Ovis aries: one gene and its partners. The protein of the gene in region 3 binds, or shares a complex with, the protein of the main gene of each other region. Links are inferred from orthologs where the notes say so. Each region holds a gene or a part of one and is shown on either strand. Other genes may lie near its edges.

Region 1 (7,991 bases), on a different chromosome or scaffold from region 3:
ATATTCATTGGAAGGACTGATGCTGAAGCTGAAACTCCAATACTTTGGCCACCTGATGTGAAGAAATGACTTACTGGAAAAGACCCTGATGCTGGGAAAGATTGAATGCAGGAGGAGAAGGGGACAACAGAGGATGAGGTGGTTGGATGGCATCTCTGACTTGGTGGACATGAGTTTGAATAAGCTCCACAATTCAGTAATGGTCAGGGAAGCCTGGTGTGCAGTAGTCCATGGGGTCGCAAACAGTCAGACATGACTAAGCGACTGAACTGACTTTAGTTTATTAGGAGCAGAGTCTAATACACAAAATCAATATTTTTATATCTTGATGAGTTTTACCTTCAGTTTCAGCTTGAATCCCACTTCCTTAGAGGCGAATTCTACACTGATACATTTGTAGGAAAGTTAAATAAGGAGATGGATTCTGAATTTGAGTATAAATCTTAACTGGAAGTATATTTTATGTAAAATTTATCACAGAGACTTTATACCATCAAATGTTTCACTACCCTCTTTCCTTTTTAATTAATGGAAGGATAAATAAATTGTGTTAACTCATGTTGCTTATCTGAATATTTTTAAAAGTACAGTATTGCTCCTAAATCAATAATTAAGGTTTGAATATAGCAAATGAATGTAAAAACGCTCTGTGATATAACATGAGATGTTCTGTTACATTACAGTTAATGAGAGTTATTCTCAGCAAGACAGGGTATTTAATCTCATTAACAAATACCATAAGTTGGCTAAATATGGAATGCCTTAATGAATGGTTTACATCTTTCATGTGAGGGACTTATGAGTCTGTTAATGTGTCTTGATTATTAGATATATTAATCTAAAACAAACAAATAAATGCAAAATGTTTGTCTAAGTGCTTTTTGCCCATTAGAGAAAAGGGACACTGTAGAGAGCTATTTGATGCTGCCAGATGCCATTAGTTATAAAAAATATAACTGTAAATATTTGACTTTTCCTCTGAAGGTTTCAGATTGCTATGGTGCAAATAGTTGCTTTGGAGACAATTTGACTCTCCAAGTAGACTGTTTCTTTCCACTTTACTGAAAAACAATTTTAAACATTTGTATAAATAGTAAAAATATTTGTACACCCCAATGATTGATATCTTTATAAAAATAAAATATTGTAAAATATTTTTAAACAAAATAATATAACAAAGAATGATTTTAATTAAAAAAATTTGGAAACAGTACTCAGGAATCGCTTCTGCATGGCGTTCACAAGATTCGTACCACTGATTATCTGAAATAAGTTTTTTTTTCTAATTATGCTTTGCAAGTTTTAATTGTAACATAATTATTCCAGGGGACCTGTAAAAGTGATCACATCCACAGACAAGCATTGACTCTTCTGGTGTAATAGAAACATAAAATAGAGCTTCTATGCTTGATGAATTTATACTCCAGCCGGTGACTGAGGAACACCTCCAGGTTTCTGCGTCCTTTCCCACGCATATATAGAAGTGCTTTTTAAAATAAAAAGACTTATTTAAACAGAATACAAGTAAGAACTTTGATATAGTAGGAGTCTTATGTCCTCTTTCCTCTTGATATACATAAAAGGATATACATATGTATATGTACATTGTATTACTTGATAATTATGTAAAATTAATGTATATATACATATACATTAAAAATGATACTGTGATGTTTACAAGATAGCACATAGAAAAATCAGGAATAAATGGTTTTAGAATTAAGGAGTAGAGCGCCAGTATTGTCATTGTTTCAATGATGGGAGAAATTAGATTTCATTAGTGAGGGGATTTGAGGGTGGGAAGGTTTACTTTGGTTCTACTGAATGCTTTTATATATTAATGAGGCCAAATTGAATATAAAGATAATAGGTTAGATAATTTGCTTTCAGTTCAAAACATGAGAATTGAAGCAGAGTTATTACAAGATTTTATTGTTTTGAACTTTGACAACTTAATCATTAGATATAGAACCCATATGACTTTCTTGGTGGCTCAGCTGGTAAAGAATCTGCCTGCAGTACAGGAGACCCGGGTTCAATCCCTGTTTCAGCAAGATTCCACTCCAGTATTATTGCCTAGAAAATCCGATGGACAGGGGAACTTGGTGGGCTACAGTCCATGGGGTCACAAGAGTCGGACATGACTTAGTGACTTAATTACCACATAGAACTTTAGAGTCCAGAAGGGAAAACTTAGTCAAGGGTTTGAACTATCACTGAATAGGGAAAGCTACAGAGAATTTGATTCATCTGTGTAAATAAGATGTGATAGAGAAGTTCAGTGACATATTGTTGGAACCAAATGAATCCAGATGTATGGGTAACACTGGAGATGAATTTATGCAATTGTGATTGTCTTAGGATATTAAAAGATGTAATAATATCACTAAAGTACTTTATATATCTTCTTCTATAATGTTACCCTTTCCTCTTTATGTAGCCCATCACTTTAATTTAAAAATAATTCGTATATTGAAAATATCTCTTCTTTTGAAATTTTATTCAAACATAGGGGTTCTCTGTGTATTGTGTTACTAGTCCTGTGCCATGGTTCTCAGTACAACAGGGACATAGAACATACTTGCCGGAATGTTTGGTGTTCCCTCTCATCTTTTATTTGTTTTCTCTATGTCCACTTATTACTTTCACTCTTGACAAAGTCTCAGATACTCCAGAGCGTTAGGGAAGTTGCATTTGGTGGTTTCATAAGAGCTGACCCCTACATCTTTCTAACTTACCAGCCTCTCTTGGTAGTTACTTGTAAGTGCTGTGGGTGTGAAGCCCCAGGAATTGGGCATAAAGAGAGAAAACATTTCCTTTCCTTGGAAGAGCAAATAGTGGGAATCTTATAGTTGGTTTCTGAGATACTCTTGCCACTGGGAGCAAATCAGACATGGTAAAAGAACACATAGATACAAATAAGAATATTTTGTTGTGTGAAAGATTCACAATTCTGAAATAAAATGGAGTGCTTTTGTGTATAATGAAGAGCAGGAGGAACATATAACTATGATTAAATTGAAGTTCTTGTTTTATATTCTTTCATAGGTCTTTATTTTATCTCAAAATCATTTATTTTCTAGGCACTGTGACATGTTTAGAAAATGCATGATATATAAATTATATTCATTCTTTCAGTTCATTGAACATTTATTAAATTCATAGCTGTGGTTAAATAGTGTACTGAATTTTGAGGGAATAAAAAATAGAAGAGACATAATTCCTGACCTAAATAAATATTTAAATATCCTAAAAGGATTTAAATGGAGTATTTTTCAATTATACAGATAGTATTCAGAAACCTGAATAATATTATTAGTATCTTTAAAGTACTTTATCATTACTCTCTAAATAACTTGACTAATTGGTTTTAACAGTATAAGTAATTAAATAACATATTAGTGCTGATACCAAACAAAATATTTCCAAACAAAATGACATAAGTCTTTGTAAGATGTAATTAAATGATTTCTTCCATATTAAAAAGTTGATATTCAGAAAATAACTAGAATATAATAAAATAATAAATGTCCATGAGTTTTTTTAATAATAAAAGATTACTGACATAGAGAAATTGAGTCATCTAATAAATAGTTGTCTCTCTGCTTAATAAAAGACATGCAATAAAATCCTAAGCAAAAAAGTAAATATTTACAGAGTACACATAAAATCAATTTCGAAACACATTTTCGTAATAAATCTCCCATATGGTAATACCCTTGAAATTAAAGTTTGAGAAAAGTAAATACATCACTGTTGGAAAAATAGCAGGGTTTTAAAGGCAAAAGGAAAAAAGGATATTACCTAACAACAGCAACTTTACAGTTCTTGCATCTCGCTCAGCATCTTCCTGAAGCTTTTTCTCCAATTCTTTTGATCTTTTGGCTGACTCCTTGCTCTCTGAACTAATTCCAATTCCCATCTTGTAGTGGTAGATGCTTGTCAGTTTATTTGCTCAAACTTTTTGGAATGTAGAGCGCAGCTAGTGCTCTGGTTTAGACATAGGATGTAAGAGCAATGCTCTGCTGAAGTACCCAACAGCCCATTCCCTCATTTTCTAAGACTCTGCTTTGACTAAGGAGATGCTATCACCTGACAAAGGGTAAAACCACACAGTTCTATGGCAGCGAAAGAGAAAATTCATTATACTTTCAAATTAAGTGGTTACTTCTGGCCCTCCTTCAAACCTACTCATCTTCCTTAAAGAATAGTATACAATAATGTAGAAAGTTATGAAAATCTGTACACTAAAGATCTGAAATGGACAATTCAAATAGTGTTTATCACTAATAGGCAATCTTTATTGCAAGATTTAAAGTTATAATTACTAACGAACAAACGTGTCTTATCTTTAGGTATACGAGTCTTCAGATTCTTCATAATCATTATGATATCACTATCAGAATATTCATATGAATCACCCAGATTTATAGTTTTGCTATGCTTGGATTATAACTCAAAATGATTGAGACATTCAGTATCTGTCAGCTAACTAGAAAACCTTTTCATTAAAAAAAAACACATAGTTCTTAGATCTATACACATTGCTGTGTTGCCAAACATAGAATTTAACACACAGTGCTCTTAAATTATTTATTTTTGTCTCATAGGATCAATTTCTATAAATTGAGCTTCTACTGCTTGTGAGAAAGTCAATCCATCACCATTAATTGAGGGTCTGCTTGGTATAGACACTGGAATGTGTTTGATTCAGGCAGTGCATTAACTGGGGCCATTAAGGAACAGCTGTTGTGCTGGAAGGACTTTTATTGATTTGGTACTGAGGGAATAAAAAGCAATATTCTTTGTAACAGTAGGTGATTTGGTTTTTCCTGAAAGGTAAGAACAGTAAATATACCTAAATACGTTCCATGCCTTTCGACTACCCCAACAGACATCATGTCCTTCTCGACAATCTGCAAGTCTGGAGACAGATTCTGTTATACAATTTTTTTGCTTGTTTGTTTATATGAAGCATAAAGCACTTAGATAGTCAAGTGATGTTTTCCTCTTAAGCAGAGTTGGCTACCTGTGGCAGCAGGCAAATCTCTCAGTGCACATTTTGGGATTTGTGGACATGCCTAACAGAGAAATATTAGAATACAGGCAGTCGATCAGCATGTTAGTGCTGTTCTTGTGGGATCGTGGACAAACTCTGAACAGGTGTATTTTTGCATATTCATAGAACAAGGAAATAGGCTGCCAAATTTAATACATAGTCCTGCTTTGTTTACTTTTCACATAAAATATTAGACTGTCAATACATAAGCATAGTCAAAACTTTCTGGATTTCATCTGCCCAAGCCATGTTATGATAGTATAAAGATGTGGAAAGGTAGGTATGCAAAGCATGTGATGTTGCTTTTAAAATGCAAAAGGCTTGCCCCAAAGGAACAAGATTTGCACTGACTGGTTTATTTATACTTGCTCATGGACACCGAGTCCATCCACACTAACAGCAATGCAAAAGAACACAAACATTAAAATCTTTTCCTTTTTGTTTTTACGTCAAAATTGACTATAAAGTACCTTGAATATAGAAGACTCTTGTGTATTCCATAGCAATTATGAATAGATAAGGTACTTTCTATACCTGCATTCAAGTAGATATACTCCCTATTTTTTTGCTGGGGACATACTGTGGCTTTGTAAGGGTATGCAATTTACTAAGACTTCTACGTGGGCTTCTGATGAAAACCGACCAACTCTTCCAGGAGTATAATTGTATATTTTCTGTACTGTATACAGTTACAAAATTCTACTTTGCTGTGTGACTCAGAATGTTTTATCTTCAAATTTATGAGATTGTTATGTGATTTTTTTTTCATTAGCTGCTAAAATAATCTTGACATTAAATTCAAGGTGTATCTATATTTAGGGGAGGGAAGCTGGGGAGAGCCAGAGAGAAGAGAAAGGCTTCTCATTCCTCTCCCTTGGGTGCCTGGAACTCAGCTTCACTAATGAGCTGTGGTTGTTAATATAGCTATTAATCCATGTTGCTTTACTTATCACTCACTATGCTTTTCTGGACCTAAGAAAATTATGGAAATAAAATAGTAAATTCTGTTAGAATGAATACAGTATGTTATTAGCTTAGGTATCCTCCATTGTATTTGGCATAGTGCTAACTATTGGAAATATTCAAAAATTATTTTTTGTTAGTACATTGATAGAGACCTGGGACCTTTTGTGTGTGTGCTCTGTTGAGGTGATAACACAGTTGAATATTTCCAAGGTTCAGGGTCATGATGGGTCTGTCTCAACACCCTTGAAATTTTAAAGTGACTCAAAAAATCAACAAAAAGACCAATTTTAGTCTGTGTATGTGCACTATGTCGCGTCAGCCATGTCCGACTCTGTGCAACCCCTATGGACCCCAGCCTGTCAGGCTCCTCTGTCTGTGGGATTCTCCAGGCAAGAACATTGGAATGGGTCACCATGTCCTCCTCCAGGGGATCATCCCAACCCCAGGATCGAACCCACGTCTCTTATGTCTACCTGCATTGGCAGGTGGGTCCTTTACCACTAGTGCCACCTGTGAAGCCCAATTTTAGTCTGAAATAGTGTTCATATCTATGATTACAACTGTTAGCCCAATAAGTACATCTTTTTTTTTTTTTATCAGCCTTAAAAATAACACCAGCATACTCCCTTTCTATTATTAAACCTTGCTCTGTAGTGAGGGAAAATTGATAAAAATGACAACAGGAAAAGGTAACTAAATTAGATGTTTTTGTTTAAGGAGCTATGTGGCTATACATTTTGTTCCTTCTTTAAAATAAGAAACATAAAGCTGTCCAGTTCAGTTCAGTTCAGTCGCTCAGTCGTGTCTGACTCTTTGCAACCCCATGAACCACAGCATGCCAGCATCAGGGTCTTTTCAAATGAGTCAGCTCTTCGCATCAGGTGGCCAAAGTATCCTATCATATTAGAGTTTTATATAGTGACCAACTAAAAAAGGTAGATTGCTGTACATATACATACACACACAGAGAGATATACGTACATTGTGTGCACAACCCACACACACAGAGAAAGAAAGAGACATTGTATTGGAGAATCATGGTCTTTTCAAATAATCATTGCAAAATAGCTTCTAAGAACATTGTTGCCTTTTTAAAAAAATCACAGTATCAACCTGATCAGGAATATCTTCTGTGGGAACAGGCTGTGCAATAAAGAAAACTGAGGAGGTAAAATACAGAGAATGAGTCCTCAGCTTTAAAAGTCACTGACACAGCTGTGTATAACGGACTTCTGGACTCAGAGGGAGAGGGAGAGGGTGGGATGATTTGGGAGAATGGCATTCTAACATGTATACTATCATGTAAGAATTGAATCGCCAGTCTATGTCTGACGCAGGATACAGCATGCTTGGGGCTGGTGCATGGGGATGACCCACAGAGATGTTATGGGGAGGGAGGTGGGAGGGGGGTTCATGTTTGGGAACACATGTAAGAATTAAAGATTTTAAAATTAAGAAAATAAAAAACTAAAAAAAAAATAAAAAAATTAAAAAAAATAAAATAAATAAAAGTCACTGACAAACCACAAGTTTGAGTGATGTGGTGATTTTTCTTCTTGCTGTTTTTGGTCAGGTTCTCTGTTGAATCTTCAGACTGGCATATTAGTCTTTAAAACATTTGAATAATTGCTGTTTTACATTTATGTTTTAACACCTAGCTTGAGATATCCTGAGATTGTTTCCCATTTGCTTTTAATATTGAGAGTCCAACCTACATTTCTGGAGAGGTCTCTTTTGCCAGTATTACTGAGTCTTATACAGTGGGGTCTTGACAGGTGGTGCTAGAGGTAAAGAACTTTCCTGCCAATGCAGGGGACATAAAAGATGGGTGTTCAGTCCCTGGGTCGGGACGATCCCCTGGAAGGGGAAATGGCAGTCCACTCCAGTATTCTTGCCTGGAGAATCCCATGGACAAAGGAGCCTGGTGGGCTACAGTGCATGGGGTCATAAAGAGTCGGATACGACT
Region 2 (7,973 bases), on a different chromosome or scaffold from region 3:
GATTAAGCCCGTTTTATGGAGGAGAACACTGAGGCTCTGGTTGCATTGGCAGCAAAGTGGAGAAGGGGTTGGCGAGAGGAAAGCCAGGTAGGCAGCTGAAAGTGGTCGGGAGGAGGGCGAACTGAGGAATGAGCAGGAAGGGAGAAGATAGGGGGACAGAGAATGTCTTCCTCTTTTTCAAGCTTTGGCTGTGAAAGAAGGAGAGCTAGAGAGGAGACAGGGTCAAGGGACATTTGCTGTTCTTTTTCTTGTGTTTAAGATGCATGAAGTCGGTCCTTGTTGTTATGCTTAAGCTGGTACTGGTAGAGAAAGAGAGATATCCCCAGAGGGAGGAGGCTTTGGGACAGGACTCAGAGGAGGTGGTGGGCCACGACCCAGGCTGTAAGTAGCATGAACCTCAATGGAAACAACAGCGCGTTCAGTTCAGTTCAGTTCGCTTGCTGCAACTGCAAGCGATGGGAAGAGACAGGAGCAGGTGGGGAAAGTGGGGTGGATGAGGCAAGGCTCCAGCCCGTCTGCTGCCTACCCATCTGACAGCCACACGCACCATCTTCCTGGATAACAGTCACCAATCATCGCATCCAGGGCCCACCATCCCCAAGCGGTTGTGTTAAGAAGGCCACCCCAGAGGATCGTTCTTTTTTCCCCCTAGTTTTACTGAGATATAATTGACATATTGTTTAAGTTTAAGGTGTACAATATAATGATGTATGTGTAAATCACAAAGCTATAGCCACAAAGCTATAAGCCGAAACTGAAACTCCAATACTTTGGCCACCTGATGCGAAGAGCTGACTCATTTGAAAAGACCCTGATGCTGGGAAAGATTGAAGGCAAGAGGAGAAGGGGACGACAGAGGATGAGATGGTTGGATGGCATCACCGACTCAATGGACATGGGTCTGAGCAAGCTCCGGGAGTTGGTGATGGACAGGGAGCCCTGGTGTGCTGCAGTCCATGGGGTCGCAAAGAGTCGGACACGATTGAGTGACTGAACTGAACTGAACTGAATAGCCGCAATAAATTTAGTTACCATTCATCATGAAGGATGACTCTTGAATGGCCTGCTCCTATTCTTTTGGCTCAGGATGGGCTGAAGGTGGGCATGTAATCAGTTTTGACCAATGAGGTAAAGACGAGTCTGCTGGAGAAATACCTCCTCACCCTTAAGAGACCTCAGGAATCAACAGCTTTTTCCTTCTGGAAGGAAGTGAAGGTGAGTCCCCTGAAGCTGGGGCAGCCGTCTTGCCACCAGCCGGAGGGTGAAGGTGGCAGAAGACAGAGGAGTGGCGAGATTTGGAGAGAAACTGGCCCAGGGCCCTGGCACAACACGCCCGAGGCCAGACAAAGACTTGCAGTGGGAATGACCCTAATACGGACAGAGTCGTGGATGAATTATACTTTCCTCCTAAATACAAGAATTCTAAGTTTTCCAGGTCAATGGAGGTCTAGCTAGGTGGGAGTAAGGAAAAAGTGAGAAAGTGGTAATGCCCAGCAGGAGCGGTTTCTCTCTTCTTTTGCCGGAAGTCAAGATAAAGTTCACTGGAGAGACACAAGTTGGAAGAGAGCTGGGAGGGTGAAAGACTGCGGGGTACCTGACTTGTCACCCTGAAGAATCAGAGGACTGGATGGAAGTATGGAGATCTTCAGGGAGGAGAGGGGAAGAGGAGAGGGTCTGTGCAGAGCCCGTGAGGCATGAGAAGCTTCAGAGAGTTTCTTTCAGGCCCAGTGTAGGCTTCAGGAGTCAACCAGAAGAATGACCTAGGTCCACATCCTCCACTATTTATCTACTGGTGGCCACCAACACTTGAAATATGGCCACACCAAACCGCCATGTGCTGTGAATGAAGAATGCACACCAGGTCTCAACAACAGAAAACAAATTTAGCACATGTCATCAATCTTCATTGGAAGGACTGATGCTGAAGCTGAAGCTCCAGTACTTCAGCCACCTGATGCCAAGAGCCGACTCATTGGGAAAGACCCTGATGCTGGGAAAGATTGAATGCAAAAGGAAAAGGGGGTGACAGAGGATGAGATGGTTGGATGGCATCACTGACTCAATGGACATGGGACTGAGCAAACTCTGGGAGGTAGTGGAGGACAGGGAAGCCTGGCATGCTGCAGTCCATGGGGCTGCAAAGAGTCAGACCTGGCTTGGTGACTGAACAAACAACAAACAAGTGTTAGCAATGCTTCTTATACCATTTACATGTTGAGATGATAGTTTTGTTGTTATATTGGGTTAAATAAAATGTAGCATTAAAATGAATTCCCTGTTTCTTCTTACCATTTTAACATGGCTAATAGAAAATTTTAAAATTAGAAGTGCAGCTTGCAATGGGTGGCACAGAACTAGACTGTCAGCCCCTGAGAAGCCATCAAGCCGTGCAAGGAGACACCATCCACAGAGGCTGTGGGGCGGGCCCTTGACTGGGTCTCCCCATCCACAGAGGCTGTGGGGCGGGCCCTTGATTGCATCTCCCAGGCCAGGAAGTTCACAGGCACGTCTAGCCCACCTACTGTCCCCCTGATGGAGCCAATAGTGGCATCACCTCTGCCGGGTATGCAGGGTGCCAGGGTATCGGCCGCGCAGCCACAGTGAGCACTGTGGAGCCTCGGGAGATGCGCCCTCATCCAGCGGTCCTGGGAGCCCTGAGCTTGGCGCCTGGGGTGGGTGCCAGATGGTAGAGAATTGCATGACCCAGCATCAGCGCTCTCCCCAGGCAGGTAGGCAAGACGATGGAAAAAGGCCCAAGTAAATTATAGGCGTTACCAAAGCAACGTCTGAAATGTAAGTCAGGGGTTCAAGGCTAGAAAAAGAAGTAAAATTGGAGGAGAGGGATTGGGCACCGAGAGATCAGGAGAAAATGAAAGGTCCTGGGGCTGAAGTCTTGTTGAGATTGAAGAGAAGTACTATTTCGGCAAGTCATCCCTTTATATCTCATCTATCATCCCAGCAGACAGGGATGGATGACACTCATATCGCTTCCACTGACCTCACAGGGTTTTGATATTGATCCCATCTATTCGAAAAGCTCCTTAAAAAAATTCATCACTCAAGCCCCTCACATCTGCCCCACTCACCGATTTATCACGGGAGATCTTCTTGTAGATAACGTGGTTTGGTGCGGGCTTATTGGTCTGCATGTTGGCTGCTGTGTTAACGGTCCCTGGCGGTTTCTTCCACATTAGGGTGTACGTCAGGTGTTACAGGGCTGTGGAAAGGTAAAGCCATCCTAAATATAACATCTAGAACATTCTCGGAATTATACCTACTCATGAGATACTGTGTATCCATTAGGCATTTCCTTCTACCTCGATATCCACGTTTGACTTGAAAAGGCCTTTGTCTGGTTTGTATTTCACTACAGTGAGCTGCCTTTTTTTTTTTTTTTTAAGGTATTTATTTTTTCCTGATAAGCGTCAAACACTTCTTAGTAAGCCTCACCAGCAAACCTCACTTCTTAGTAAACCTCACTTCAGACAGATTCCCACGAGAAGGTTTTACTTTGAGACTAAGCCTTGCTATCGTCACAGTAAGCCAGATTGATTTTAAAATTCTATCTTGATGATATATCATGGCAATTAAGGTAGAAAAAGTTCCTGCAAACCACAACCTAACCACTTCATGAATATCATTTGAAAAATCCGTTAAATCCCCTAAAAGTCCTGCTCAGCAATTCACACTAAGCAGAGTTCTCTCTCACTATCCCCAGCTCTACCCACAACAAAGAGGCTGTCTGAAATTCAAAATGCCTTCTGAGTTTCCCTAACAAGTAATGTCCATGGAAAGTAACTGGGTCAGACTGACTGCACGAAGATGCCAGTCTCCCCGGTCCTGGCTCTTTCCTGGCCTGCCCCGAGGTTCTGAGAAGGCTTTGCTGGAGGATGGTCACGTACCTTGTGCGACCAGCCGGGAGGGCCCAGGAGGTGGGGAGAAGGTGTGTGTGCCCTCCGGGGTGAGCAGACGGCCAACCCCTGTTCTGTCTACCCAGACAACTCCACACGGGCCCTGGCTGACCGCTCAGGGGGATTTGTAGGGAACTGGGAGAGTGTGCCCCACACCCACATCTCAGTGCCTAGAAGCCAAATCCCATTGAAGGAGCAGAGTGGTAACTGGATTAGTGCTGAGGCGGACGAAATGGTAGCTTCAGCAGTTCTCAGCATTAGGCAAGGGCCTCTCGGTCTCCCTCCAGAGGGGCTCACGGTGGGCTCACAGGAGCCAACTGGCTTGAGCGGGGAAGGGAGGCGGGGGGGGGGGGGGGGGGGAGGGATGACAGCTAGTAGACTAAAGCTACTTTCTATCTTAACCCACTTTGGGTTCTGGAAATAGACTGATTATCCCTTCCTCCTGCTATCACCAGGAGAAGGGATTTTCCAGAGCTCAACCAACTTGATTAAACTCAGCAGGCAGCTAATGCAACCTTGGGGGTGGGGATAGAGACAAAAAGGTCAAGGAGAAATGTCAACCTCAAGATGAATCCTGGTGTTACGCAAGCCAAACGGGTGCTGCCCTTCTCCTCTTCCCCGTGTCCTATCCATTAGGTCATGAGTCCTGTCAGTTTTGCCCCTGGCGTCCTCTGAATCCTTCTAGTCCTCCAGCCTCCGCAGGGTCCACACCAGCCCCTTGGCTTTCCCAGACTAGAGTGTCTCCTGCTGTCTAAGTACATCCTTCCAAGCCCTGAGTAGCCACCCTCCAGCTTAGCATCTCACCTTGCTCTCAGCTACAGGCACAGAACCTTATTTTTGAAAAAATTATTTATTTGGCTGCACTGGGTCTTAGTTGCGAGATCTTCAGCCTTAGTTGCAGCACATGGGATCTAGTTCCCTGACCAGGGATCAAACCTGGGCCCCTGCATTGGGAGGTGGAGTCTTAGCCACTGGACCCCCACGGGAGTCCTAGGCACAGAACTTTAAAGTCACGCACTCCAGCCTCTGCCCACCCTTCCCCATCTCCCTGCAATGCACACCCATCATTGCTTCTGTCTGGAACCACCCTCTTCTCCCACACTCCTTGATTCTTTCCACCCTTCAGACTCTGGCTCAAGAGTCACTTCCTCAGGGGAGACGTCCCCCACCTCCAGACTAGGTTGGAGGCTCTTCTGCATCTGATGCTTGTCTGCAAGATAATTTCATGGTCTCTCATCTCAGTCAAGGCTGTGGTTTTTCCAGTGGTCATGTATGGATGTGAATTGGACTGTGAAGAAGGCTGAGCGCTGAAGAATTGATGCTTTTGAACTGTGATGTTGGAGAAGACTCTTGAGAGACCCTTGGACTGCAAGGAGATCCAACCAGTCCATTCTAAAGGAGATCAGCCCTGGGTGTTCTTTGGAAGGAATGATGCTAAAGCTGAAGCTCCAGTACTTTGGCCACCTCATGCGAAGAGTTGACTCATTGGAAAAGACCCTGATGCTGGGAGGGATTAGGGGCAGGAAAAAGAGGGGACGACAGAGGATGAGATGGCTGCATGGCATCACTGACTCGATGGATGCGAGTCTGAGTGTACTCCGGGAGTTGGTGATGGACAGGGAAGCCTGGCGTGCTGTGATTCATGGGGTCGCAAAGAGTCGGACACGACTGAGCGACTGAACTGAACTGATCTCATATTTGACTCTAGGCTCCACGAGGTCAGGGACCCCACGCTGTTTTGTTTATCTTGTTTATATTCCAGTGTCTGGAATAGAATATTCAGGGAATGAATGCAGGGGATAGTGTGGTCACTAACATGCATGTGTTTTGGACTTGAGCTGGTGTCTCGAAATGAAGCCAGTCTAAGCAGAAAGCCAGTTCTGATGTTTGGGGTGTTAGTATCTACTGAGATACCCCAGTGGCTTCCCGCCTAACCCCTGCATGATCTGGGTCCCCTTTCCATGACTTGCTCACTTTGCTCCAGTCAGCTGGCCTCTTTGCTTTTCTCCAAACCTGCCTCAGGGCCTTTGTACCTACTGTTTCTTCTTCTGGAACACTTTTCCCACAGTCACTCGGCTCGTTCCTTTTACTCCTTTAGGTCTTGACGTCGCTGTCACCCTGTCCATCTGTATCCTGGTGTACCACCCCATCCAACACTTCTGTCCTCCTCCTCAGCATTCCGTTCCTCTGTAGCACCTGCCACCATCTAACATAGAGGACAACTGATTCATTTGTTTATCGTCTGTCCCCCCTCCAACCACTGTTAGATTGTAGGTTCCAGGACTGAAGAGATTCTTGACTATTTAGTTCCTCTCCCATCTGCAGTGTCTAGAATAGGGGCCTCAATAAGCTTGGAGAAAATCAATGAGTCACTGGATTGCAACAGTATGCTGGCTGGCAACAGCTGAAGTTGGAAAAAAATTTCATTTCTATGAGAATAAAATTTTTAAAATATATCTAGATCTATAAACAGATCTAGTTCCTTAACCAGGGCTCAAACCAGGATTGCCTGGGAGCAGGGAGTCTTAACCCTTGGACCACCAGGGAAGTCCCAACTTTTAAAAACTTTAATGGAGGAATGTCAGCTAAGAAATGTAAAGAGAGTGATAGAATTAGAAAAACACCACTTGACAAACTCTGACTGTATTAATTGTGCCTTTTTATTTTCTATAATTTTGATGCTTTGACATCTGAGGCTTTGCTGACCCTGAAGAGACTGCCATCCCAGGCTAGTTTTTTCCCAGAGTGACTGTTTTTCACATCTGTATCAGCCCACCCAGGATGTGAACACACCAAAGGCCTCCTTTCCTGCTTTGCTGGGGGGTCTCACACTCTGAACCATTACTGCCTTGCCCCCGTGACTCATCCTGGGGCCAGGTGTCAGACAACTAGAGACAGCCCCTGCACCCCAGAGCCCGCCTTAAGTCCGCTTATCTTGTCTCGCCAGTTCTTTCTCAAGGAAACCACAAAAAACCTCTTGCCCATGTTTTCTCCTTGATCCTTCTACCGCCCAACTGGCCCCTGGTGCTTCCATGGGCGGCCTGCCCCACTTTGAGGAACTGTAAGTAATAACCTATCTTTTCAATAACAATGTCTTCTGAGCCACTGATCTCACCAGAGCTGAATAACAGTAAAACTTAACATTGTAAAACACTGATGACATTATTGACTCAGATGAGGATTCTTTACTGGTGTCAAAACCAATATGTGAAGAGTTGAAGGGGAAATGTCTGTTCTTATGACACCAAAGTGATGCCATATGGATCAAGACTTCAAGGTGCAAGCCTTTTGCAACCACATAACAGGGGGACCAGGCGTGGTCTGAAGTCAATCTTAGCATCTCCAAAGTGTCAACCACTGTGATGTATGATCTTAAGACAGCTGGAATCCATCAAGCCTTTAGACATCACTTCTCATTTGTAGGACATACAAAGAATAGCTAGATGAGACCACAAGAAAGCTACCAGATGAATGTAGAAAGTGGCTGGTATCTTTTATAAGTCAATGTCCTAGAAAAGAGATGCATTGGATTAAAAGACAGTTAAGGGACTCAACATCCAGATGTACTGTGTGGTCCCCACTGAATAAACAGGATGTAGAGACATTTTGGGCCCACTGGGAAAATCTGAATATAATCTAATAACGTGTCAGTAATATGTTCGTTAGGGCTTCTCTAATGGCTCAGATGGTAAAGAATCTGAATCCCTGGGTTGGGAAGAGCCCCTGGAATATGTTTGTTATTTGACCTCAGACAGGTAGCATGGAAATTACTGGGCGAGGAAGGTAGAGACCGTGACTGAGCAAAGGTCACAGGTGTGTGTAGTATGATGGCATTTTGCAAACACACAAGTCTACGTGTGGATAGATATGGACACGTGTGTTTCCATACCCATTATATGCAGTCTCTGGGATAGGAACCAAGGAGCTGACATTGGTGGTCTGTGTGAAGGGAATGCTAGGCTTTGTTTTTAAGAAATCTCTTTTCCCTAAAAAAACAAAAAAGAAAGAAAGAAAGAAGGGAATTTCCTGCTGGTCCAGTAGTTAAGACTCCGAGCTCTCACT
Region 3 (7,865 bases):
GCTACCCGCTCCAGTACTCTGGCCTGGAGAAGTCAATGAACTGTATAGTCAGTCCATGGGATCGCCAAGACTCGGATGCGCCAGGGTGACTTTCATTTTCAACTCTACCGTGGGCGGCAAATGCAATCAGGTGACTGGGGGCCAGGCCAATCAGAGGACGAATGCCCATCCCAGCCTGGTGATTGGCTTAGGAGCTATCAGGTGACCCAGGCCTGGCCAATGAGAGCCCTACCTGGAAACGACTGACAGATGGAGAAGAGAAGCCCCATTTCTGCAGGGTTTGCTGAGCTTGGAATTACTGGTGATTTCCATGCTTACATCTTTGGAACAGTTAACCTGGCATAAAGGCATTACTTTGTCAATAAAGGTCCATCTAGTCAAGGCTATGGTTTTTCCAGTAGTCATGTATGGATGTGAGAGTTGGACTATAAAGAAAGCTGAGTGCCGAAGAATTGATGCTTTTGAACTGTGGTGTTGGAGAAAACTCTTGAGAGTCGCTTGGACTGCAAGGAGATCCAACCAGTCCATCCTAAAGGAAATCAGTCCTTGGTGTTCATTGGAAGGACTGATGTTGAAGCTGAAACTCCAATACTTTGACCACCTGATGTGAAGAGCTGACTCACTGGAAAAGACCCTGATGCTGGGAAAGATCGAAGGCGGGAGGAGAAGGGGAGGACAGAGGATGAGATGGTTGGATGGCATCACCGACTCGATGGATATGAGTTTGGGTGAACTCCAGGAGCTGGCGATGGACAGGGAGGCCTGGCGTGCTCCGGTTCATGGGGTGGCAAGGAGTCGGACACGACTGAGCGACTGAACTGAACTGAAAGGCAACACAGAGGAAAGTGCAGCCAAAGGGGGACCTAGAAGCCAGATAACATGGACTTCCCTGGAGGTCCAAGGGTTGAGTCTCCCCTGCGGGTGCAGGAGCCGTGGGTTCCATCTCTGGCTAGGCTCCAGGGCAGTTGATTGGATGAGCCACAGCTACTCACTGAAGCTCAAGTGCCCTGGAGCCCGATCTCAGCAACAAGAAAAGACACCGCGATGAGGAGCCCGAGCGCCGGAGGGAAGGGTGGCCCCCGCTCACTACAAATAGAGAAAGCCAAAGCACAGCAAGGAAGACCCAGTACAGCCCCCTCAAAAGCCAGGTGACCTCATCTGAGCACCTGCACCCAGGCATGCCTGAAGCCCTGATTTTCATTTATGGGAGCCAATCGTGTCTTCCTTTTGCTTCGGTACTATTGAGTGTGGTTTCCTGCCTCCTGCAGATAAAGGAATCCTGACTGACATCACCCACCTAGGGAGACGGAGTAGAGAGGGGCAACAGCAGAGATCCCAGCTATTACCTGCCCCAGCCCCTCCATGACAAGAAGGATCTCCCTTCTCAGACTCCTGCTGCCTTTTCCCGCCTTGGAGGAGGATGGTCATTCGGGAGCTACCCCTTCATCCCATTCCCCCTTCAGATGAGGTCCCTGGTAGGGCCAGCCCGGAGCTGAGGCTCCAGTAATGCAAAAAAGCCTCTCATCATCTGCTGAGCTCAGGAAGCACGTTGGCTGCATAAAGCCTGAAATCTCATAAAGGTCAGTTTTAAGATCCCCTTTTGCAGATAAGGAGGCTTCCAAGAGGTGACAAAATTTGCCTGCAGTTTCACAGGCCACCTGGATCTCTGTGACTCTGAGGTTGGAGCTTTTCCCATTCCTGGGCTTGCACTCCCAGGGGGCTCTGATAGTTGCTCAAACCCAGAAACCCCAGGGTTAAGGATCAGATGAACACTGCCCCGTTTCTACCCATCCTGTAGATAAAGAGCTTGAGACTGACAAAAACCACCACCACTAACACCAAGGATAGGAGCCGAGCTTTTAATACCCCAATTTGCCTTCATCTCCAGGCAGAGCTGGGGAGAGGTAGAGCTTCCCGCTTTGGTATGTAGTTGAGGAGGGGCATTTATGAGGCGGCTGGATTCTGATGTCCCAGAGTCCCAGCCAGCCTCGCAGCAGCAAGGACTCTCTGGAGTGGAGAACGGACTGGAGCCGCTGAAGGCTTGCCCAGCAAGGGAGCTAAAATCTGTGATCTGTGAACTTCCCTGGGGGAAGGTGGGTCCAGCTGGATTTCCCACACTTTTGTTTTTTAAGCTCTTTTTGAGACAAAGGTGATGTTGGGGACCCAGCTCTTCGTTAAATGTGGGCAGGTGAACATAACTTCTAGAAGCTCCATACGGGCCCAGAGATGCTGAAGCCTGGGTGCTGGGCAGGAGAGCTAGTGGTTTTTCAGATGCCGAGAGCAAGACCTGTCTCTCTGTGGGTTGCACTGGAAGGGAATGGCCCGCGTCATGGGGGCTCTGCACTGGCCCCAGACTCTGGTCCTCTGATGTTGTTTTCTTGTGTTTTTGTTTTCTTCTCAGGCCTGATGACTGCACTCTGCATTTCCTTGACTGTCCTTCCCTGTGGCCCACCACCCAGCGCTGGTCTGGCCTTGCTGTCTGTCTAATGTTTATAAGCCTGATGAGGCTGGATGCTTAGGGCTTTGCCCAATCTCAAAATGGTCGCTATCAAGAGGAGATGATCATAGGAATGAATTACTTATATTAATTGATATTATTCATAATGTTAACTACAGTCTGTCCAGCTCCTTACTATTTACAAAGAGCTCACACACGCAAGCACACGTGCACACACACACACACACACACACACACAATCTCATTTGATCTTCCCAGCAGCCATGTGAGGAGAGATTTGGAATTCCCATTGTATGGGGGAAGAAAGTGAGGCCCAAGGACAAAACAACTGCTCAAGGTCATCAGCCAAGGGCGAGCTGCTGCTGCTGCTAACATGTTATGAGAGAATGACTATGCCCTCCCGACCCGTTCATCTCTCCATCCACGTCTCCATTCATTCCTTCCTTCCTCCACCTAGCATTTATTAATAAGCACCTACGGCGTGCCCCGTCATGTGCTACTCACTTATCCCTAAGCTGGGACACTTTTCCAGAGCAAGAGCTCTTGTGTAGCTGAGAGATGAGCTGAGGGGAGCGGAGCTACAGTGGGCCCCCGGGAAATCAGGACTCCAGATCGGGCCGCCCCTGCCAAGTGAGGCGCCTCCTGTTTCGCTCATTGATTCGTTTGCATTTGGTTGGTTGGTTTTTGTGTTTACACTCAGGGAGCCTGTGAGAGCTGGTTCCAACAGGCGCGGCTCCGGATGGAGCTGCTGAGGCTGGGGTGGGGTGGGGGCTGGGGGACTCCTGCGGCTGGCCATGGAGTCCCTGGAGGGGCTTAGGCAGGCGCCACCTGGCTGGTCTCTGTCTTGGAGACGGTGGTGGAGGCCTCGTCATCACCCAGCGGGTTCTTGCCACAGCAGAGGGTGGTAAGCATGCAGTTCCGGAACTGGAAGGAAGAGGTAGGGTTAGGGTAGGGGTGCTCAGGGTCCCGCAGAGTCTGGGTGGGAAATGGCATTGTCAGCGCGGTGTGCCATCTCCCTCTTCTGCCTCTGGCCCTCCCAGCCTCCGATCCCCGGTCAGATGGCTGGGACCAAACCCGAAGGGACTCTGTCACTGGTGACGTGCCATGATGCCCTCAGTGTGCCAAGAGCCATCTGGAAGTTATCCCATTGAACCCAAGAGTTTAGGATTTCATCCTTTCCATGGATGAAGAAACTGAAATCCAGAAAAGGGAAGTGACTTGCCCAAGGCCACACAGCTAAAACCTAGCACAACTGGGATTTGAACCCGATCTGTCTGACTCCAGGTTTTCCCCACTGGACCAAAGAACCTGCAGAGGAACCTCTGGTCTATGTTAAAAGGACTGCTTTATCCCTTCATCCCTCAGAACGAGACTTTTTGGCATCCTGTCCAGCTTTGTGGAGACTGGCACCTGTTCCCAGGCCCGGGACTTTGACCGTCTGGACTTTCAGAACCATCTGGACTGGCGCTTCTCTTTCCTAAGCCAGTGTCAGAGGGCTTGTTAGAAATGCATATTCCTGGGCCCACCCTGAGCTTCTAATCAGAAGGTCTGGGGGTGGGTCCAGGAATCTGCATCTCTCCCGGATGACTCATGATCACCCCAGGGAAAACCAACACCCACCCACCCACCCCGCCCATTTTGCAGGTGGAAAGACTGAGGCCCGATTAAGACTGCGGCTTCTCCACCTGTCGCCTCGGGGGGAACCTGGCCCCTTCCCACCCCACCAGCAGGCACCTGCTTGTTCATCATGATGTAGATGACGGGGTTGTAGACGGAGGAAGACTTGGCAAAGAAAGCCGGGATGGTCATGAAGATGGGGCCAAAGTCGGAGCCCTGATGGGTGAAGATGTAGAACGCCACCCCGGCGTAGGGCAGCCAGCAGATCAGGAAGGCGATGACCATGATGATCACCATGCGGGTGACCTCCTTCTCGGCCTTCTGAGTGGTGGCCGACTCCTGCTGCTGGGCAGCCGCCTGCGGGGACACAGGGCCCGGTGTCCAGACTCGAGGCTCCTCTGGGCCGGGGGCCGCGCTCAGCCTCATCAACGCTCTTGTCCCCAGCCCCACAGCACCGGTCCCCCAAGGACCCTACCTCCTTGACGGTGAACACCAGCTGCCCGTAGCAGAAGAATATGACGATCAGGGGGATGGAGAAGTGGACCACGAACATGTAGATGACGAACGACTCATTGTTGATCTCCGGCTTGAGCGTGTAGTAGTCAATCCCGCACGAGCACTGCATGCCCTCCGGGATGTACCTGAGGCCCGGGAGGGGCAGGGGCCGGAGGGGCAGGGGGAGACCCGCGTGTGAGGGACCGGGGAACAGGCCCCGCTGGCCAGAGTCCTCTGCCAACGCCTGCAGCAGGGCTGCCCTCACTCTGGGCCTCACTTCCCCCCTCTGTAAAATGGGGATAATAAACCTTTCCTTGGCTGTGAGGCTCACATCTACTGAGATAAGGGATCCAAGTGTGTGGAAACAGTGTTGTTGCCTCGTTCAGCGCTGTGTTACCCTGGGACCCTGGTCTCTCCCAGTCTCTCACTCCCCGCGCCCCTACTCTGCCCCCCTGCTTCCCTGCCTGGCGCTTCTTCAGCCGGCCTACCACTCCCAAGTGGCTGGAGGCCAGGCCTCGGACCATGAGGTAGGTGGGGAGAAGGGAAAAGCTCCCAATGTCTGTATTGCAGGCACCCAGGTCTTTTTAGGCCGCTCAGGGTAATTAAGGGATTTTTGCACAGTTTCTGGAAACAAGAGGCCCTGGGGCGTGTGGTTAGGGCGTGTGATTTCAGAGGACGGTGACACTGAACCGACCCCAGGAAACCCACTGTCCATTAGCTGCGTCTACGAGGATGTAACTAGGCCAGACTGGAGAAGATAGGGAGGGAGGGGCAGGGTTTTTTGCCCTTTGCTAAATTGCTCAGGAGGGAAAACACTGGCCCCAGGAAGACTGAGAGAGAAGGAGAGGGGAGAGAGATGGCAGTTTCCTGGAAGCAGAAGGGCACGAAGCCTCTGGGAACCCACAGAGGCCAGTTTCCCAAACCACGTTCCACCCCACCGCCATCTCATCTCAGCCCGTTGGGGGATATCAGCCGAGAGTCTTGCCAGGACTGGCTCCCAGGGCGACACCGCCACACCTGCATGAGGGAGGCTCTGCTTCTGCAGGGGCGGAGGCCTGAGGTCAGAGGAGCTGCTCCCGGGGCACTGGACTAAAGAGGATTGGAATCTGGCCTGGCTTAGTTGGGGATTAGGGGCACAGCCAAGGTGAAGGGTTGGGGCGTCTTGGAGTCTCCTTGACACGGGGAGCAGCCCCGTAGTGACGTTAGGAGCTGACCCTCTTTTCCCTGCCCTAAACCTCAACCCTATGACAGCTGCCATCTCGGGGGGCCTGAAACCAGGCAGCACCGGCCCCCCTCCGGCTGGAGGACCCTAGGAAGCACCCCGGAGACCCTCCTCCCCCCCTGCTCAGGGCCGTTACCTGGACCAGCCGACCAGGGGGGGCGCGGCGCAGGCCAGAGCCATGACCCAGGTGAAGGCGACGCCCATGATGGCGTGGTTCTCTCCGAAGCGGAAGTTGCTCATGGGCTTGCACACCACCACGTACCGCTCGATGGCCAGGACCACCAAGGACCACAGGGCGATTTCACCTGCAAGGCGGCCACTGTCAGCCAACCGCCGCGTGGCTGGACCTGTCTGTCTGAGGAGGAGGTGTGCTCCTCCCGGGGATGGGGAGGGGGGCCGACAAGGAAGGCACCGGGGAGCAGTCCTGGAGTGCAGACTTAAGGAGCGGAGGGTCTGGACACGGACGAGGGGAGGTGGCAGGGCAGACGGGCCGATACACCACATGGAGGAACTCCCAGGAAGGTTAGTGCAGCCAGAGCTCCGGGTTCGCGGGGAACATGGCAATCAGCTCGCAGGGTCATGGCTGAGAGCTGGGAGCCCGGCGGGCAGTTTTCACAGAACAGTGTGTCCTTTGTGGGGCCACCGGCAGAGTTCCAGGCACAGGGGATGGCAGAGGCAGCAGGAGCCAGAGGGGGAGGCCTCCCTTTCCTCCTGGGCAGCGGGCCTCTCACCACCAGGGACATGGAACACCCTGGGCATGGGTGACCCTCTCTCGGGAGCCAGGGACCCGGAGAGTGTTTTGCTCAGAGGGAGGAGGAGGAATGATAATGATGGGGTTCAGACATCTGCCCTGCACATCACCCCCAGAAACTCAGGAGGGAGGTGGCCGTGGGGTTTACCAACCGGGGCATTTCTGAGAGTGAAAGGGAATGCTAGTGGGTACTCCAGGCCCACGGTTGTCGCAGAGGCGTGCCCACCTGTGGGCGGCACCCTTCTGGCCTGAGACTGGGGGATCGTGGTCATCCAGCAATGGCCAGTGCCCCAGGAACAGGGCTGAGGCAGGGCCTGGACACACGTGGGATAGAGGAGACAGAGCATCCTGTGGCTGGTGCGGGCTCTCTCTGCCCCCAGGCTTTGTGACAATGACCTCCCGCGTCTCCTGCTTGCCTGAGAGGCCGTGTCCCCACCGGGGGACACTCCTGGGTCTGAGCCAGGAGGCCCAGGCTCTGGGCACTGGCCTGCCACGTTCCTGAGTCAACTCTTCCCCTCTGCACACTGCAGTTTTCTTATCGGCTAAATGGAATCTATTCACCCATTTTTTAGTGAAAATATTTTAAAAGCATGGCTCCCAGCTACACAGATCACCTCACCGGGTCTACTGTCTCCCTGTGAATGGACTCCTCAAGGCAGAAAGCCTTCAGGCAGAGCAGAGAGCCTGGAGGCGAGCTGGGATGGAGTCAGAGAGAAGCCAGGGAGGGACCATGCCCGGCGCCCAGTGCAGGCAGAGGCCGGTGCCTGGAGGACTGAGGACTCTCATCCCGCCCCAGGCTGGGGCCCTGAGCACAGGCATCCGTGTCCAGCTCTCTGTCCCCGGGACCCGGTGTGGGTCTCGCCCAGCCCCACTGCTCCAAGAGGAGCAGAACCGTGGCCTGAGGGGCCGCAGAGACATAGGCTTGCAACTCGGCCTTGCCAGAGACTGCCTGCGACCCCAGCGAGGCCCCAGACTCCTCTCATCTGTCTCCTGGCTGGAGGGCAAGACAACGACCCCAGTGCCAGTGAGATCACATGCTTGGCGCCCGCCCTCCACCAACGCCGGGCAATCTCGTCATTGCTTATACAGCGTTTATTGACTGAGTGAGGGAGGGCTTTGGCTCACGGGCTCTTGTCCACCATCCGCAAGGTTGAGGCTGTCCCCACACCCCCACCCCTGCCACACCCAAGCTCCTGGCTCCTGAATACACACACACCCCTCGCCCAGCCCACCGCACCCAGCTCATACCGCCCAGGGTGGCAAAGAAGCCTTCCAGGTTGCAGCCCGTGGGCCCAAAGACGAAGTATCCATGCAGAGAGGTG

What was found.
Region 1: the proteins of RHO (region 3) and GNAT3 are in contact, whole or in part, in a crystal structure (PDB 4A4M), measured with the Bos taurus proteins. The link is inferred for Ovis aries from reciprocal best matches to the Homo sapiens genes RHO and GNAT3. Residues at the interface, in NP_001014890.1 of Bos taurus: Leu72, Arg135, Val138, Val139, Lys141, Thr229, Val230, Ala233, Thr242, Thr243, Lys245, Ala246, Glu249, Val250, Asn310, Lys311, Gln312; in NP_001103452.1 of Bos taurus: Ile344, Asn347, Leu348, Lys349, Asp350, Cys351, Gly352, Leu353, Phe354.
Region 2: the proteins of RHO (region 3) and SAG are in contact, whole or in part, in a crystal structure (PDB 4PXF), measured with the Bos taurus proteins. The link is inferred for Ovis aries from reciprocal best matches to the Homo sapiens genes RHO and SAG. Residues at the interface, in NP_001014890.1 of Bos taurus: Arg135, Val138, Val139, Lys141, Leu226, Glu249, Val250, Met253, Met309, Asn310, Lys311, Gln312; in XP_010802144.1 of Bos taurus: Asp71, Ile72, Met75, Gly76, Leu77.

What each region holds. Positions count from the first base shown.
Region 1 is NC_056057.1:42,062,365-42,070,355, reverse strand, and holds the start of GNAT3 (guanine nucleotide-binding protein G(t) subunit alpha-3), read right to left. Parts: upstream 4,121-7,991; 5' UTR 3,923-4,120; coding exon 3,805-3,922; intron 1-3,804. UniProt on the Homo sapiens protein: Guanine nucleotide-binding protein (G protein) alpha subunit playing a prominent role in bitter and sweet taste transduction as well as in umami (monosodium glutamate, monopotassium glutamate, and inosine monophosphate) taste transduction.
Region 2 is NC_056054.1:7,671,406-7,679,378, forward strand, and holds the start of SAG (S-arrestin), read right to left. Parts: upstream 4,121-7,973; 5' UTR 3,903-4,120; exon of another isoform or gene 3,218-3,902; 5' UTR 3,192-3,217; coding exon 3,087-3,191; intron 1-3,086. UniProt on the Homo sapiens protein: Binds to photoactivated, phosphorylated RHO and terminates RHO signaling via G-proteins by competing with G-proteins for the same binding site on RHO. May play a role in preventing light-dependent degeneration of retinal photoreceptor cells.
Region 3 is NC_056072.1:56,172,412-56,180,276, forward strand, and holds the end of RHO (rhodopsin), read right to left. Parts: coding exon 7,792-7,865; intron 6,098-7,791; coding exon 5,929-6,097; intron 4,717-5,928; coding exon 4,551-4,716; intron 4,433-4,550; coding exon 4,193-4,432; intron 3,383-4,192; coding exon 3,272-3,382; 3' UTR 1,846-3,271; downstream 1-1,845. UniProt on the Homo sapiens protein: Photoreceptor required for image-forming vision at low light intensity. Required for photoreceptor cell viability after birth.